Bombyx mori: one gene and its partner. The protein of the gene in region 1 interacts with the protein of each later gene in a pairwise test. Links are inferred from orthologs where the notes say so. Each region holds a gene or a part of one and is shown on either strand. Other genes may lie near its edges.

Evidence for each region.
Region 2: the proteins of protein bicaudal D (region 1) and microfibrillar-associated protein 1 interact in binary tests that used the Homo sapiens proteins (3 or more experiments, as listed by UniProt). The link is inferred for Bombyx mori from reciprocal best matches to the Homo sapiens genes BICD2 and MFAP1.

The regions. Positions count from the first base shown.
Region 1 is NC_085125.1:2,135,027-2,144,014, forward strand, and holds the end of protein bicaudal D, read left to right. Parts: intron 1-319; coding exon 320-505; intron 506-1,427; exon of another isoform or gene 1,428-2,045; intron 2,046-3,737; coding exon 3,738-3,998; intron 3,999-4,716; coding exon 4,717-4,883; intron 4,884-5,843; coding exon 5,844-5,918; 3' UTR 5,919-8,159; downstream 8,160-8,988. UniProt on the Homo sapiens protein: Acts as an adapter protein linking the dynein motor complex to various cargos and converts dynein from a non-processive to a highly processive motor in the presence of dynactin.
Region 2 is NC_085127.1:8,420,155-8,429,663, reverse strand, and holds the start of microfibrillar-associated protein 1, read left to right. Parts: upstream 1-3,436; 5' UTR 3,437-4,519; coding exon 4,520-4,592; intron 4,593-4,760; coding exon 4,761-4,954; intron 4,955-5,101; coding exon 5,102-5,313; intron 5,314-5,642; coding exon 5,643-5,755; intron 5,756-5,948; coding exon 5,949-6,130; intron 6,131-6,907; coding exon 6,908-7,032; intron 7,033-8,513; coding exon 8,514-8,657; intron 8,658-8,805; coding exon 8,806-8,902; intron 8,903-9,509. UniProt on the Homo sapiens protein: Involved in pre-mRNA splicing as a component of the spliceosome.

The DNA of each region.
Region 1 (8,988 bases):
ATTTGGTATCCCCAGTATTTTTCTCATAAATATTGTCAAGAGAGCGTACTTTAGTTTTTTTTTTTAGTTTACCTATGCTTTGACTAGTATTAACAAAATTAATACATAATTTTATCTTACTGTAAAAGACAGATAATGTAACTGGTAAAAAATTAAAAATAAAAGTTGCAAAGGGGATTAATATTAAAAATGTTACATGTTAAACCTTTAAAACACTCTCTTGTACAATTAGTAAATTTTGAGATTATACAGTTTTAATGCGATAACAGTTAACTGTTTGAGCAACAATATTTACATAGGCATGTTGGTTGGTGTGCAGGTCGCGAGGCCAAGTCCGGCGTGACGGAGGCGGAGGCGGAGGCGCTGTCGCTGGCGGAGGGGCCGCTGGAGGGGCTGCGCGCGGCCGGCTCCGTGGCCCGCGCCGCCGACACCCTGCTGGACCAGCTCGACCACCTGCGCGCCGCACTCGACACCGCGCTCGGCGCCAGGAGCCGCCAGCCGCGCAGTCAGTACCCACCCCCGCCCCGGGGTGTCCAACCACGCACCTTACATGCGTCTTCTTGTTTTTACCATCGCACCGCCCGCCACCGGAGTAGGGTCCATCCATACTACCTGGAGCCACTGCGGTCATCCACAGTGCGTTTCCAGAGGTATTTTTTGCCACGTACCATTCGGCTATGGAATGAACTCCCCTCCACGGTGTTTCCCGAGCGTTATGACATGTCCTTCTTCAAATGAGGCTTGTGGAGAGTATTAAGCGGTAGGCAGCGGCTTGGCTCTGCCCCTGGCATCGCTGAAGTCCATGGGCGACGGTAACCACTCACCATTAGGTGGGCCGTGTGCACGTCTGCCTACAAGGGCAATAAAACAAAACTTTGCTCTTAACACGTTGACTGCCGTGTAGGTCACCGATGCCCTACGTGGCACACTGAAGCAACTATGTCGATTTCTCTTTGTTTTTCTTACGTATATTCAGTAGACTAGGAAAGACGAATCCGAAGATACTGACAATGAATCTATTTCTAAGATACCTAAAAGACTAAAACATACATTATCAAACAAAAGAAGGCAAAGTTAAGCAATCTAGGCGCTAAGTAACAGAAATCGACATAATCACTTGAGTACGCCGCGTAGGACACCGGTGACCTACATGGCAGTGTATGGGTTAATAATCTTACCGGTGGTAGGACCTCTTGTGAGTCCGCACGGGTAGGTACAACCACCCTGCCTATTCCTGCCGTGAAACAGTAATGCGTTTTGGTTTGAAGGGTGGACAGCTGTTGTAACTATACTGAGACCTTAGAACTTATACCTCAAGGTGGGTGGCGCATTTACGTTGTAGATGTCTATGGGCTCCAGTAACTACTTAACGCCAGGTAGGCTGTGAGCTCGTCCACCCATCTAAGCAATAAAAAAAATATCGACAGGTCCCGTAGCTTCGATTTGTGAAAATCGTTCAAAAAAAGCAAAAGATATTGCCAACATAAAAATAAAAATGGCTGACGAAAGAAAAAAAAGTAATACAAACGTAACTCAATTAATCTGTAACGGAAGGAACGTTAAAGAGCTTACCGATTATTTTGAAAATATCACCGGTCTCCAATCGAACAGAAATTATATCGATACAGCGTTGAAACGTGCGAACTACAAAATCGATTCTAGTTTGAAGCATTCGAATAATTGCTTCGCACAATATAATGCCAAAAAATACGATACTAAATTTAATGGCAAAAGAAAACAGTTTCCCATAGCGAAGTCGCAAATCTCGAATCCAAATTTATCTCAATATCGAAATAAAAATCTCAGTTTGTACTCGATATGGAAAGATAAATTGTACAAGAGAGCATCTTTAGACGATGAGATCGATATTAAGAAAAGCGATCCTAAATCGTACAACTTGAAAGCATTTGTGAAATCGACTGTACTGACGTGCGTTTACGTGCTGCAATACATTCTGTGATCCCGAGCTCGTCCCGCGAAGTATAGTCCGTCAGATGCGGCGTGGCGCCCGGGACAGTTGTCGGCGGGACGTCATTAGGAAATAGGTTTGATATAACAAACCATCTGTCAAACGTATCACGCTGTAGTTAACGAACTATAACTATATAGTGTATTTAGATTTTTAATACGCTTTTATTAGCTTCAGACGTATGTATGTTTGTAACGGAATCTATGAACATGATTTTGACCCCCTTCAAAACGTCGGATTAACTCGAAATTTGGTATACTTATTAAGGACCGATGACAATACAATATTAGAAAAAAATTAAAAAAATTGATATTCAACTAATGAATGAAAAATATATAATAGTTTTAAAATACTAACAAAGCACGCTTTTATAGAAAATCCAACTAAAAAAACAGAAAATAAATTTTAATAAATTTGAATTAAAAATAATATAAGAAAAATGATTTTATTGTAAAAAAGCGTGGGGTGCATGGTATAAGTAGTTATAAATATTTTATAAACAGACATGAGCAGAAGGGTTATTTTGATAATATCCTGAAAAGCACCTCACGCTTTTTTACAATAAAATAATTTTTCTTACACTATTTTTAATTCAAATTTATTAAAATTTATTTTCTATTTTTTAGTTGGATTTTCTATAAAAGCGTGCTTTGTTAGTTTTCTTAAACTATTATTTAAGATAAATTGGGTTGCATCTAAGCAATGTTCTAGTTAGTTAGTGGACAGTTTACAGCTGTAGTGATTGTGTAGTAGAATTATCGATAAAGAAAATAAGACTGACTCGTTGGTGCAATAGTTAACGGCCTTGACTGTCGCGTCGAAGGACGTGGGTTCGATTCCCGCACCGGGAAAACGTTCGTGTGAAGAGCAAATTTGTTTGCTCATTATCTGGGTGCTTATTATCTAACGTCGTCGACTAATTTAGAAGTCGTCGTGGCCTAAAGGATAAGACGTCCGGTGCATTCGTGTTGAAGCGATGTAACGGTGTTCGAATCCCGCAGGCGGGTACCAATGTGGGTGTTTTGTTCCTAGGTATTTATTATTATTTGAAGAATTTTAATAAGGTTCATTTCACCCACTCGTCATTGTTGGGTTTTGAAGATTATATCTCCACGCCCTCACTAGTAACCAAAGATAATACGTGTCTGTGTGTCGTTAACTGCGTGCGGGCCCCGGCAGTCATGTCCCGCAACCCCTTAACTTGTTCTTCACACTGCCCTTCATTCACTCATGTTCATTCTTCATTCGTTCATTCAGTCGTAGAACCTTGTAGATTTTGATCTGAAAAATGAGCACCTACTGCCCATTCTTTATCTCTGTCGTCGCAAAGTGTGCAGTGCCTCGCGTCGCAATGCACACGCCAGGTGTAGTCCACAGCAGTCCGGGCCGAGTCGCCAGCCAGTTCCCCTTATTGAACTGGTGATTTACTGGTGGTAGGACCTCTTGTGAGTCTGCGCGGGTAGGTACCACCGCCCCGCCTATTTCTGCCGTGAAGCAACAATGCGTTTCGGTTTGAAGGGTGGGGCAGCCGTTGTAACTATATTGAGACCTTAGAACTTATATCTCAAGGTGGGTGGCGCATTTACGTTGTAGATGTCTATTGGCTCCAGTAACCACTTAACACCAGGTGGGCTGTGAGCTGGTCCACCCATTTAAGCCAAAAAATAATAATAGTGTAATTCAATTTGACATTGTTTTGCAGAATTCTAATATACCAGCACTTAGTAGTCGTTTTCTCGACCTCATCGAGAGTTTAATGTGCTCGCAGTGATGGAGACCACGGAGGAGCGCGGCGCCGAGCTGGCCGAGCTCCAGGAGCAGGTCATCAAGCTGAAGTCCCTTCTGTCGACCAAGCGCGAGCAGATCGCGACGCTGCGCACCGTGCTCAAGTCCAACAAGAACACGGCCGAGGTGGCGCTCGCGAACCTCAAGTCCAAGTACGAGACGGAGAAGACGATCGTCACGGAGACCATGCTCAAGCTCAGGAACGAGCTGCGCCTGCTCAAGGAGGACGCCGCTACGTTCTCGAGTCAGTACTGGCTTTTTTTTTTTTGCCGTTGTAGGCGATCACTAAATACTTAGAGGCCCGACACGTTGGACTGACCAGATCCGCACTACCCTCGATACCACAGTTCACGATGCTCTACACTCGGCGGCAGATAGAGGGAAATGGCGTGGAATGATCCGGAATAAACTCTTGTTGCGAGGGGGTGGTCACGACCCTCAGTATTGAGGAAACCAAACTAAGAAGAAGAAGGCAGACGAGCATACGGCCCACCTGATGGTGAGTGGTTACTGTCGCCCGTGGACTTCAGCAATGCCAGGGGCAGAGCCAAGCCACTGCCTACCGTTGAAAATGTTTCAAGGTGGTGTCTCAAAGTCAACATTAGTTGGGCTATGAGCTCGTTCACTCATCTTCTTCTATCTATATATAAAAACGAATTGCTGTTCGTTAGTCTCGCTAAAACACGAGAACGGCTGGACCGATTTGGCTAATTTTGGTTTTCAATTATTTGTGGAAGTCCAGAGAAGGTAGGAAGGTAGATAAAAATGAAAATGCTCTGAATTAAATAAAAATAACAATTTTGTTTTTCCTCTGATGTGTCCTCCGTCGGACGGATTCCTTTTGTTTTAAGTTTATGTTATACAAAAGCTTAGGTCTTTTATTTATCGATTGAGGCACTACGAAGTCTGCCGGGTCGGCTAGTGTGAAATAAAATAGCTAGATGTGTGAGCGTCCGTTCCAGGCTTGCGTGCCATGTTCGCGGCGCGCTGCGAGGAGTACGTGACGCAGGTGGACGAGCTGACGCAGGCGCTCTCCGGGGCCGAGGATGAGAAGAAGACCCTCAACCAGCTGCTGCGCCTCGCCGTGCAGCAGAAGCTGGCGCTCACGCAACGGCTCGAGGAGCTGGAGGTAATGGTCCTACTAACTAAATATAATAATAATATTAATTTACTCCACAATACAAATAACTTTCCAATTGACATGTCCTTCTTCAAACGAGGCTTGTGGAGAGTATTAAGCAGTAGGCAGCGGCTTGGCTCTGCTCCTGGCTTTGCTGAAGTCCATGGGCGACGGTAACCACTTACCATCAGGTGGGGCGTACGCTTGTCTGCCTACAAAGGCAACAAAAAAAAATATATGACCTAAATTTCTAATTATATCTAAACAATATTACAATTAATTATACTGACAGTGGAGATAAAAAGGCCGCGGCCCAGCTTTGTGGTAGCTGAAACTATCGCTGCTATTCTGCCGCTGCCTGTAATTTTAATCTATAAAATAATAAACTAAACTAATAAAACTAAAATAATATAGACTAATCTATAAAAAATAATCTAATAATACCTAAATTTAAACATGTGGCATAATCTACAAAATCCCTGCCTCCGCACTTTGTTGCTCAAGTAGAAATTCCCTACAAAAATATTTGAAAGGGTTAACTAACTAAATATAATAATCCGTCGACATCGAGCCAAAGGGTCGGATGTTCAAGGGTGTTTGAGATCATGTCCATCATACGAGCAACACACGCCGCGTCGGACACAACCGTCTAACCTCAGATGTAGGTAACCTGATTTAGGACTGGTGGTAGGACATTTTGTGAGTCCGCGCGGGTAGGTACCACCGCCCTGCCTATTTCTGCCGTGAAGCAGTAATGCATTTCGGTTTGAAGCGTGGGGCAGCCTTAACTTAACCACTTAACACCAGGTGGGCTGTGAGCTCGTCTACCCATCTAAGCAATAAAAAAAACATGTGATCAGACTCGATATGTTCGCGAATGCCGCGTCACGTAAGAGGAACTAGACATATTTGTGGATTGCTGCGTCACCGGTCCGCTGTGACGTCATCTGACAGTGACGTGTGTCGCAGGTGGACCGCGAGATGCGCTCCCGGCGCGTGCCCAAGGCGGGCGGGGTGCGGGGCGGCAGGGGGAGGGACTTCTAGCGACTGCTGGCGCCGGTCAAGGCCGTCGCCGTCCTGCTGCGCCGTCTGCTGCGGACCTAGGGCTCCAGCCTCACCGGCCCGGTCCCCTATTTGTACGTTTTGTAAACTTTTTAATGTAATGTGAATCGCGCCGCACGTCCGGCCCCCGTCGCGGCGCCGGTCCGGGCCTCGTCCGGCGCCGCTGGAACGGTCAAATTGCGGCGGGCTGCCGGACGCGGGCGCGGCGGTCCCCAGCCCGGGGCCGCGCCCGGCCTACCCCTTCCCTTTCCTCGGGACATATTTTCGTATCGATTTCTTCACTCGATATCGCGCGTCGACGCGAATCGATTATTTTTGTAACAGGACCGGTGTATTTTGTTAAGCGAATATTTATTGGCGCCGTTGTGGTCCGCGGTCTCCCCGCGCGCCGGACGGACGCGGCCCCCCGTTACGTCCAAATGTGAAATTTCTAAAGAAAAAGAATCATTATCGTCGACATCCATCCATTGCGTGCGCAAAAAGACTATGTAATCTGTTTACCGGGCGACGCGTCGGTCGCGTCGTCTCTGTCTCGTCCATGTTGTTGTAGTCGTGATGTTTGAGTTTGTTGGTGGATCACTGTGCCGTCCCAGTCGCGTCCATGCTGTCCACGCGCCGGCCGACTCTCCGTCTCTGTCGCACCCCCTCTGTCGGCAGTGTCGACCTCTCGCTCGCACAGCGCTCAACGCATTGCTCACGGAGTCGACCGGCGCATCTATTGATAAGTCGAAATTTAAAAAGTTATTGAATGTTAATGGTTTCGGTTGAGTCGCGCCGGGGCGCCCCGGCCTCCGCCCCCGGCCGCCGCCCCGGCCAGTAGAGTAGCTAGTAGCTCGCGACAGGCAGCTAGCCCGCGACTTGCATTTATTGTTTAACATAGTGTTTGTTAAATTAGACTAATTATTATTATATTAGGTCGTTCTTCGTGTACTTAAAAAGACGAACTTACCCGTTCTATACATAGCTTTAGCGTATCAAGTATTCTGTCCCCTCTACTAAGTATTATCGTTAGCCGTCGGTCCCCCCGCGTGGGGGGCGGCCCCCGACCCGAGCAGCGCGGCTCTGATATGTTTATTGTATTGGTTGTTAGTTTTGTTACTAAAAGTATTACTGCATGTGTTTCCGCATCCGTCTCTTTCTCATTGACATTGTTACATTTAGACTGACATGTTCTTTTACACGGTTTTCTGGTAATATTTATTATTAAAAATAGTTATTTATTTGACTTAAATATTATAAATAGATGTTGTATATTTTTCATTATTAAGAATTAGATAAACTTTTTACTATGTTTCGTGCAATGAAAGAAAAAAATGTTTTTTAGTATATAGTATTATTATGTATAGTACAGATTCAGTATTTTTTTGTTTGTTTATGGTTTACTATCGCTGTTGTCTGCTGTATGGGGTTAGAGCGATTAACCAAATATTATTATTTCCTTTGTGTAACAATTTTTTAGTACACTTATATTTGTGTAGGCATATTATTATTTTATATTGATTAGAAAGAGAACTTAGTGAAGAATTATTGATTTTGTTATTCGAAGATTTTTTTATATAGTATATTATTATCGGTGCGGCGTAGACATGGTCTGTCGGACGAGCGCGCATGAATGTTCCCGGTGCCCTGTCTCTGCTTTCTGCGACCTGTGGTTGTTAACTTTAAAACACCTTGCGAGGGCCGAAAATTAAATATTTATTATCGAATTTAGGGACAATGTTCCGATTAATAATTTAGTGCGTTTTTCGCGAAGATTGAGAACCAGCGATTTGGTAGTTTATCTATGATCAAGGTCCGCGTAGGGTCGCACATCGATGGCCCGACGGACTTCTCAGGCGACGCTTCGTACAGATTACAAGTCTTTTGTAAAAAAAAACGCTTACAGAGCTTTCAGTATGCAATAAGTGTTGTGGGACAACAAATTGTATACGTCACATTCGCACTGTTAAATATTCCAATAGAGCTTAAGTAAAAAACGTTAAAGCTCTTTCACTGCTGCGGAGGGTAGATTGCCCTCAACATGGCCGCCGTCAGTTTCGCGTCAGTATCGCGTCAGTGTTGCGTCAGTATCACGCCAGTGCATCGCGGTGCGAATGTCGCGCGTTGTTATCGGGAACATATCATGGTGGAACGGATTTATTTTTTTGACCCGTCTGAAGGCGCACATGTCACAATGACTGATATAAATCATGTATGAGATATAATAAATTATTATTATATTTATATGTTTTGTTTCAATTACTTTCGATTCAGATTTTAAAATGTATAACTATAAAAGACGTTGATCGATTTTAAGTCCTGTTTTAGAGACGATAAAGATGACTTTACGTACGAAACCTTTTGGCTATCAAAAATTTAGATAAATTCAATGCCAGTTAAATAAACTATGTACCTACTCGTAATTGACTGCATATTACGTATTTTGAAATAAATTAAACTAGTTCTTTTTTTTTTGACTGACTAGGCTTTGTTACGTTACTTCCCACATGAACACTTCCTAAGGTGAGATCGTGGTGGTACGATCGGCTCACCAGGTTTTAAGTGGGTACCAAAGCTCTTGGACATTGCCACGTGAAACCCACCGTCGTCCTTGACACGTGAAGTCAATTACCAATTTAGTCTCAATTGTAGTGTTGGCGCATCCTCTAAAGCAGTACTACTCTTCTGCATTAGTTGAACGAGCTTCTGGTAGTAGTAGTAATAGTATTCCACATGTGACGATATCATTGTACAATTTTAATTGTAATCGATTATTAACCCTATCCAGCTTTCTGTAGATCTTTCTTTACCAATGTATCCATCTTGAAAGAGCTACAAATCAAACATAAGGCTTTCGTCGATTGCGCAATTGCGAATCCTTCATATGTTTGGACATATCATCTGTAATGAAAGCTCATTTGAACGACAAATGGATCAAGGAAGCGTATCTCACAAGGTGGACAGACTTGATTAAGTAATCTACCAAAGTGTTCCCTTACTGAATGTACACGTACCGCCACCAATAGAGAGAGATGGAGAAGAGAGAGGCCTCGCAGAAGCCGCAACCAAGTAA
Region 2 (9,509 bases), on another chromosome or scaffold:
TTCATTTCCCTGTAAAAAAAAGGATACAATGTGTATTCAAAACTCTCGCCTCAAACACAAAATCATAGACTCTAAATGGAGTCAATACACGTTATTAATAGAAGAGAAAATTAATAATTGCTCAGAAGTTAATGTCATAGATAATAATTATTTCAAAGCTATTTTGTTAGAATCGGCTGATAATGTTTTTCCAAAGAAAAAGCCGCGTAGTAATAAGTTGTCATCTCCACCGTGGTGGGATGAAGAATGTACCAATGCTATACAGAAACGCAAGGCAGCAGAGCGTAATTATCGCAATAATATGTCTATGAAAAACTACGAGGCATTAATGACTATAATGAAAGAGGTTAGAAAACTATTTAAAAAAAAGAAATTTGACGGGTGGAGGAAATTTTGTAGCACTATATCACCTGAAACACATGCTACTGTCATATGGCGAAATATCAAAAGATTTAGATCAGCTGTCAATCCTTCTAACGCATTGTTGCTGCCTATAGAATTAGCAGATCAATTCCTTGATCGTTTGGCTCCTCCTTCTGCTCCACTCAACGATCCTATCCTGTCTTATAAGCAATATAACTCTGATGCCCCTTCTCTAAATCTAACTTTTACGTTAGTGGAGTTAAAAGGTGTATTAAATCACGTCAAAGACAGTGCTCCAGGGGAAGATGGGATTCCATATTCCTTTTTGTCTCACCTTGGCGAAAAAGGATTAAATTACTTTTTAAATTTAATAAATAAAATTTTACTGACAGGTGACATTCCACCGTCATGGCGAAGTCAAATAGTATTGCCATTTTTAAAGCCGTCTAAGGTACAATCTGATATCAAATCATATCGTCCGATAGTTTTGTCATCGGTGATCACAAAAGTTGTTGAACATTTAATTAAAAATCGGCTTGAATGGTATATAGAAAATAACGAATATCTGTCCCAAACTCAGTTTGGATTTCGAAAAGGTAAAAGTGTGGGGGACAATTTAGGCATATTAGTTACGGATATTCGTAATGCTTTCTCAGATAAAAAGTCAGTAGTTGCTGCTTTTTTGGATATTAATTCGGCTTATGATAACGTTCTATTACATATTCTAAAAAGTAAATTAGATAAATTAAAGGTTCCCGATTTTTTAACTAATTCCATTGTAAATCTTCTTTCGGAGAGGAAAATTATTTTAGATGTTGGCGGCCCTTATAAGCCTAGTAGGCTGGTATGGAGAGGTTTGCCACAGGGGTCTGTTCTGAGTCCTTTATTGTACAATATTTATACATATGATCTAGAAGGTTCAGTCGGAGATTCAGCAAGTTTATTACAGTATGCCGATGACTTGGTTATTTATGCCTCTGATATGTCTGTAAGTACTGCTGAACGATATGTTTCCTCCTCTTTATCTTTGCTAAAAATCTGGATGGATGCAAATGGCCTTGATCTGTCTCCCTCAAAAAGTACTGTTGTACTTTTCACCAAATCCCGTACTCCTTGCTCACTTAATATAACATATGATGGGGATATATTACCCATTAGGAATCAAGTTAAGTTCTTAGGAGCTATTCTTGATTCTAAACTAACGGGTCAACCACACTGCGAATTTGTGGTTAGTAAATGTGAGCGAAACTTGAACATGCTGAGATGTCTCGGTGGGGTTTGGTGGGGTGCTCACCCGGCTACACTGAGGTTGGTGTATAATGCTGTCATTAGAAGTGTACTGGATTTTGGGACCTTTTTCTTAGACCCAGGTAATGTGGCTGGCTTTAGAAAACTAGATCTCATACAGTCTAGGGCTTTGAGGATTGTTTCTGGTGCCATGAAATCGAGTCCGGTTAATGCTCTGCAAATAGAATGTTGTGACCCTCCTTTAAACTTAAGACGTCAATATCTGTCCGATAGATTCATTTTTAGAATTGTTCAGTTCCATAATCATCCCCTCATTTCGAAACTAGAGTTTCTTTCTAAAAAAGTACCCTCTTCACATAAACCTTTACCTTGTCTGTTAAAAAGTTTCCTGAAATTCAAACAATTACAAGCCCCAACTCATTCTTTTCAGGTGCTTCCTTTATTTGGCGCTTCTTATGATTCTCTCTTACTTTCTCCAGTGATTTGCTTTTCTCTTGGCATTGAAAAATCTGATTTTAATGCCAATGAAAATTTTAATTGCAATGTCAATAGTAAATGGCCTAACTGGCATCAAATTTATACAGATGCATCTAAACACTCCAGTGGGTGTGTTGGTGTTGGAGTGTATCACAAACAGTACAACATAGTTCAGAAAATTAAATTACCTCCGGAATCATCGGTCTTTACCGGTGAATGTTTTGGACTATTAAAAGCTCTTGAATATGTGCTGTCTTTCAAACTAAAAAAAACCGTTGTATTTACTGATTCCTTAAGTGCATTACAGAGCTTAGCAAAATTTTCACTAAAACTTAACCCTTTTTTTCATGTAATATTTGAATGTAAGAGAAAGCTGTTGCACTGCCAATCACACAACTATTTAGTATCATTTTGTTGGGTACCTAGTCACTGTGGCATATCTGGAAATGTGAAAGCTGACAGTTTGGCCAACAGTGCAACTGTGACCGGTGACGTATACCCGTACAAGAATTTTGGCCATGATCTTGCTGCTTTGCCCGGCATATGCCTCCACAAATCATGGAATATGTGTTGGGAAGAGAGCGGCCGGATTAAGGGTCGTTTCTTGTATGCTATACAGTCTTCCGTTCCCAGGAAGCCATGGTTTGCCAAATTGTCGTTTGGTAAAACCGCCACTTCTACTATAATTCGTATGCGTCTGGGACATAACAGCCTTCCAGTTCATTTGCACAAACTTGGTATCGTAACTAGTACCGCCTGTGAGTGTGGCGAGAGTTATTGTGACCTGAATCATATTTTCTTTGCTTGTTCTTTATATGATCATTCTTCCTTATATACTTCTTTAGTATCTCTCTCTATTCCCCTTCCTACTAATATTTCTTTACTTCTTCGAGATTTTAATCCCCTTGTATATAGTATTTTAAGTAGGTTTATTTTAAATAATAACATTAAACTATAATTTTGATTTATTTTCCCTGTTATATAATTATTCTGATTTTTTTTGTAAATTCAATTCGTTCTAAATCATTTATGTTTTGTTGCGATAAGTTTCCTTCGTTTTTTATTATTTATAAACTGTAAATAAATAAAACGGCGAATTATAAAAACGTTATTACTTGACGCTGGCTAATGCACAAAACGTGCCAGAGCCAAAAATAAAGAAGAAGAAGAAGATATATGAAAAAATTGTGTCCGATTTTTAGGATGAGTGCTCCATAATGAATTTAAATATATTATCATATAGTTATTAGTTTTGGTGTATCTACTTTCTTGAGATCCTATTAAATATGTTATAATTATTATTTTTGTATGGTTTAAGCGGGGTAGCATGATAAAATAAGAAATGTTATATAAGCAATCATATTAAATCGATATCAAAGTCAATAACCCAAAATCCTGGTGGTAGGACCTCTTGTGACTCCGCGCGGGTAGGCACCATCGCCCTGCCTATTTCTGCCGTGAAGCAACAATGCGTTTCGGTTTGAAGGGTGGGGCAGCCGTTGTAACTATACTGAGATCTTAGAACTTATATCTCAAGGTGGGTGGCGCATTTACGTTATAGATGTCCATGGGCTCCAGTAACCACTTAGCACCAGGTGGGCTGTGAGATCGTCCACCATTCAAAGCATTAAAAAAAAACCGGTTGAACTGACGTGACAATGACATTTGGTGCGCTAAGCATGACGGATTTTCGGCCTCATTAGACATTTACGTATATTCATGTTTCATTTTATGTACGCACTGAAATACTGTTATATTGTTTTCCTGCGAGTTACAGTGCTGACTCGTGCTGAGTAAGAACGAGATAGATATATGTTTATGTGTGTGCCTTCAAAATGGGTGTTATTTGTATAAGCAATTGTACGTATAGAAAAATATGTCGTGTCCCTACTATATAGGTCAATGAAACGCACTGAAGTATACTTTAAAGGTTTATGTATAAACAATGTTCTACAGCTTGTCCTGTAGCCATGTATGCAAGCCTCATTAACACACTACACCATCAGTGGTCACTGTTGCAAATAAATTTGCAAAAAGTCTTCAACAGGATTTTTTTTTTATCAAATTACTTTACTTCTTATTTAGTAAATGTGAAAAAGTTATGACTTTCCTCTTCGCTTAAAGCAGTTTCATACAACAGATATGGTTTTAGTTTTAAAACAAAACAGCCTGTATGACCTTTGTTCCTTTGGTCAGGGTATTTGCGTGTTTGAAAAAAATTTGTTGAAGTAATGTCAAATTCTGTATCTTATCTGTGGCTAGTACTAATCATACTAAACGTATCGTTACTGTAATTTAGGATAATAATGGGTAAAATATCTTTTAAACTGAACAAGGCTTTGTGAAATCAAGTAATTTATATTTAATGAAAATTTAATAATTGGGGTCTAGTAGCTACTATCATTGTTTTATAAACGAAAACACTGGCAAGATGAATGTCCTACCAGCACAACCTACAGGCATTCAGAGTACAGCGGGAGCAATTCCGATAAGAAATGAAAAAGGTACGATAATGTATTCCTAAAATGAATTTAAAAAAAAACTGGCTTTCAAACTTCCATTCTATAAAAATAAAGTTAATTGATTCGAAATTTTCACATTAATCAATGCAGCTTAGTTGAAGCATTTCCAAAGTTTTCATTTTATTTTACATAAATTGGCTTCATTTTCAGGTGAGATCTCGATGCAAAAGGTGAAAGTTCAGCGATACATATCTGGAAAAAAGCCTGACTATGCACAAGGAATGTCATCATCTGAGGAATCAGATGAAGAAGATTTTATAGAGCAACAAAGACCTGAACGGAAACAAGTTTTACCTCAAATAATCACCCGCAAAGAAGAACATCATAGCGATTCTGAGAAAGAGGTAACTTATAAAGAGCAACACTAATGAGAAATACTATAAATGGACTGCTCTCTGCAGCTCATCTTAAATTGTACCTCATAACAGAAGTGTCAAGGTTAATTGCATCTTTTTCACTTCATTGTAGAAATGTATAATTTCACTTTTAAGGTTGATGATCCTCGATTACGACGTCTCCGTAATATTGCACAATCACCGCCGCGTAGAGCCGAACACAAGCCTGAAATTATTGATGCAGAACCTGAAGCAGAATCTGAGATCAGTGATCATGACGTGAGGGATAGTTCCGAGAGTGAAGATGAACTGGATGAGGAAGAGATTGAAAGACGCAGACAGGCTCTAAGAGCAAAACTTGCAGCCAGGTAAATGTAGAACATATTAGTTTTTAAATTCACAATAATACAGTGAAATAGATAATTTTAAATGAATTATGCTTTCAAATATAACTCCTGAAAGAGTATATGGGACTCTCCACCCAGCCAAAAGGGAGATTGCTGTAGTTGAAATGTAGTGGTTTTCACATTGTAGTATATATGAGTTCCAAGTGTTTTGAGTTCCTTCACTATGCAATCACTATGCAATAAAAAAGGAAGACATTGTTAGCACAAGTGTTTTTTTAAAAAGGTGCATTACGAACTTAAATATTAAATACGTCTGAATGTAATAAAATTATCAATTTATTAAATGGTAGGGAAGCTGAAAAAGAAGTACTCGGTAGAGATGAAGATGAAGAAATGTTGGAAGGTGACAAAGAGGAAAGCGGCTCATCAGACACAGAGTACACAGACAGTGAAGAAGATACTGGTTAGTATTCAAATTTTATAAAACTTGTAAATATTACTTAGAAGCGTCAAGTAATCCCTTCAAATTAAGCTTCATATTTAGTGGGCTTCTTCTAAATGGAGGTAAGTAAAAGTAAAGAAATTTCAATATTGCATTTCACAGGTTATGCCATCATAGTACACTGCATAATTTATGTATAGTTGGCCTTTTCCAGGGCCAAGGGTGAAACCAGTATTTGTAAGAGCATCGGAGCGTATGACAGTGGCAGAGAGAGAACGTAAAATGAAACAGCAGAAAAGAGAAGAGGCTGAAGCTCGGAAAGAAAAAGAAGAAAGGCGACGGGAAGCCCTTAAATTAGTAGAGGAAACGATTCGGTCTGAACAGCGGGGTGCTCAGGTTTAGTATCAGGTTTTAAAATATAAATTTTATGAAATCAAAATCAATATGTAATAATTGTTTTACTAACGATTGTCGGTAACCTTGTATCATCATCATCATTATCCTGCCCTTCTCCCAGTCACCTGGGGTTGGCGCAACATGTTTTCTCCTTCCATACTCTTCTATCATATACCATTTCTTCGCTCACTCCCCTCCTACCCATATCGTCTTTCACACAATCCATCCATTTCTTCTTAGGTCTACCTCTTCCTCTAAATCCTTCCACATTCATAGTTAACACTCTCATAACAACCTCATTTTCATTCCGTCTCATCACATGTCCATACCATCCCAAACGTGCACTCCTCAGCTTCTCTGTCACAGGTGCCACTTTCAGACTTCCTCTAACATAACCTTGTATATAAAGTCTTAAACATGTTGTTTACATATGAACGTATATAAATGTGGTGTATTGATGCTTCACTTAATATCAAAGTATTAGGAGAAGGCAGGTGGTTCAGTAGGCAGCAGCCGGGGTTCTGCCCCTGACATTGCTGGCCCAGTCCATGGGCGACGGTAAATACTCATCAAGGGGGCCGTATGCTGGTATGCCTACAAGGGCAATAAAAAAAAAGTATATTATGCATCAATAGTCTGTTGACTGCTGAAGTTTTAGATGATTTATATTTTCTTATAAAAACGTTGATTAATAGTGATGCGAAATTACGAATAAAACAAATATTTTTCACACTGTTTTTATTCTTCACAATTTCAATCTTTTAAACATACTTTTAGGGAGAACAAAAAGAAGGGAATATAAATGATGTATGTACAGATGATGAAAATGACGAACTGGAATATGAAGCTTGGAAGTTGCGTGAAATGAAACGTATCAAACGAGATAAAGAAGAAAGGGAAGCGTAAGTTAAAATTATTCATTTGGAAGCTATTTTCTTCTACAGTAGGCGCGCGAGTTCATGTCCGTCCTGAGGAATGCGGTAGTGCTGTGACCTAGTTAATTATGGTGTCGATAATAACTACCGATTTAGTCAATAGCTGTCAATTTGGTTTATTGTAACTAGGTCATTTTGCAAATTATAAAATAAATGTGGTAAGTAATTACTTATTTATTTCTAATAGAGAAAAATATTTTTTAAATTCCAATTCAATTACTATCAGATGAAAAGATAACCGACAGATCAGAGTCCGAATCAGTGTAGGTTTTTTTCTACCTGAACTTGTTGGAAGCGAAGTAGTCGTAGTTTATTCACCATGAAATAACACAATAGCGTTAGCGTAAATTTTTGATATCGATAAGCGCGCGTCACAACTGTCAAAGACAACACTAAACGTCAGACAAACGCGGGGAGGCGGACGGAGGCGGGGCGAGCTGCCCCCCGCGCGTCACCTCTGGCCCCGATGGACACGAACTCGCGCGCACACTGTAGGTTAATTCAACTGTATCTGCTATACGGTAGAACAGTATTCACCATCAATACGCAATGTCGTCAAAGGCCTTTAAGAGATATACTGTAAGATGGGAAGCAGTATTCTCTGAACATTACAGTAGGTAGAGCTAGTGTGCCTGGCTAGAGCAATAAAAGCTAAGTTACTAAGTGAGAATCTGAGGTCCTTAGATTTGCCGAGTATTATTATTAACCCATGGTATATATGAGTCGACTATTATCAAAGCCGGCAATCTGACTTTTGGACAATGATTGGTAAATCAGAAAAACGAATTATTGACTTTGTATTCCATTGGCAGTCACAAAACTCTTCGGAACGACATCTTAGATAAATAACAGGTTAACTATTAACCTTTATTTAATGCAGGTTTTGAACCGTATTCTTTGAAGGAGACGATTATATTCAAATAAATCTGTATTGACATATCAATAAAAATTTTTTGTCCAAATGTACAGATTGCCGCCTTTGATAATAGACGACTCATATGTAGTTAGTACAAGACTTATGCTTCACTCTGTTTTAAAATTAATAGTCGTCTCATATTTCAAATATGAGTTCCACGTTTTGGGTTTTGATTGTGTGAAGTAGATGTTATGCTGATAGGCTGAGATATGCTAAGATTTTATCCACGTAGATGTTATTCTGGCCTAAATTATCTCAGACTGCAGCTGATGTATTTAGTCAATCCCGTGTCAGGACTGCAGCTGATAATGATTTTCTATCAGTGATTGTTATTTGAAATCACAATTTATTTTTTAGATCGCACGATTAAAGAATTCAGTCTCGGAATTTTAATAAAATTAACTATGTTAAAGTTTCACAACGAATAATGTTATATTAAAGAGACTAAAGTTTTAGTCAGTATTAAACATTTTTAATGTATTTTAGTGGCCGTCGATTTTTAGTCAGTGTAACATTTTCATTTTTATTTCAGAGCCGAAAAAGAGATGTTAACTCTGGAACGATTACGCAACATGACCGAAGATGAGCGACGCCTCGAACAACGTATCAATCCAAAGGTTGTCACAAATAAAGCAGTCAAAGGAAAATACAAGTTTCTGCAGAAATATTATCACAGGTAAAATTCATACTTTAAAAATTGTATTAAAAATAATTTTGCTTAATAAGAAAATTATTAAAGTTATTAACCATAAAATTTGAAGCATAAAAACTTGCTTAGTGTGAAAACTATTAAAATTAATAACGATTATATTTTCTAATTTTAGAGGTGCCTTTTATTTGGATAAAGAAGAAGATGTTTTCAAACAGGACTTCTCGGGTCCTACGCTGGATGATCATTTTGACAAGACAGTTTTACCAAAGGTATAAATTTTCTATAAGTTTCAAGAGTAAAATAAGTAAAAGTAGTGTAAACTATACGGATCAAAAAAATACAATATTTTTTTCGGTCTGATTTTTCTAATCAGGGTACGATGGAAATAATAAAATTATTTTATTGGTCCTTGCTAAGTACGTATTCAAATTAAAATTGCTAATCGGATGAAAATTACAGTTGAAATATTGCGTTGTATAAATAGATACAAGTCGAGCTAATAGAAACGTGTTAAATTCAAATGTGGCTATATTACTCAATATGGGTCGCGATATTCAAGTTTGTGGTCTTCAGTAACTATATAGTACCGAGCGAGCGAGTGAGTGACTTGGGGATCTAGGGGCGAGCACGAATGACTATCGAAAAAGTATGTATTCATATCGCTATCCAGAAAAAATGTATAGGATTTAAATAGTGCCCCTACCGTCCGTAAAAAGAATTAATTTCAGCAACACGAATGAATTTACATACTTCCGTACTACTTCCCAATCGAATCGTCACGTTCTAGGAACTCGAAACTTTCATAATTTATCGACATACGGTAACGTAAATCTCGAAGGCTGGCTATCGAGTACTACCATAAATTGTAATTTTACT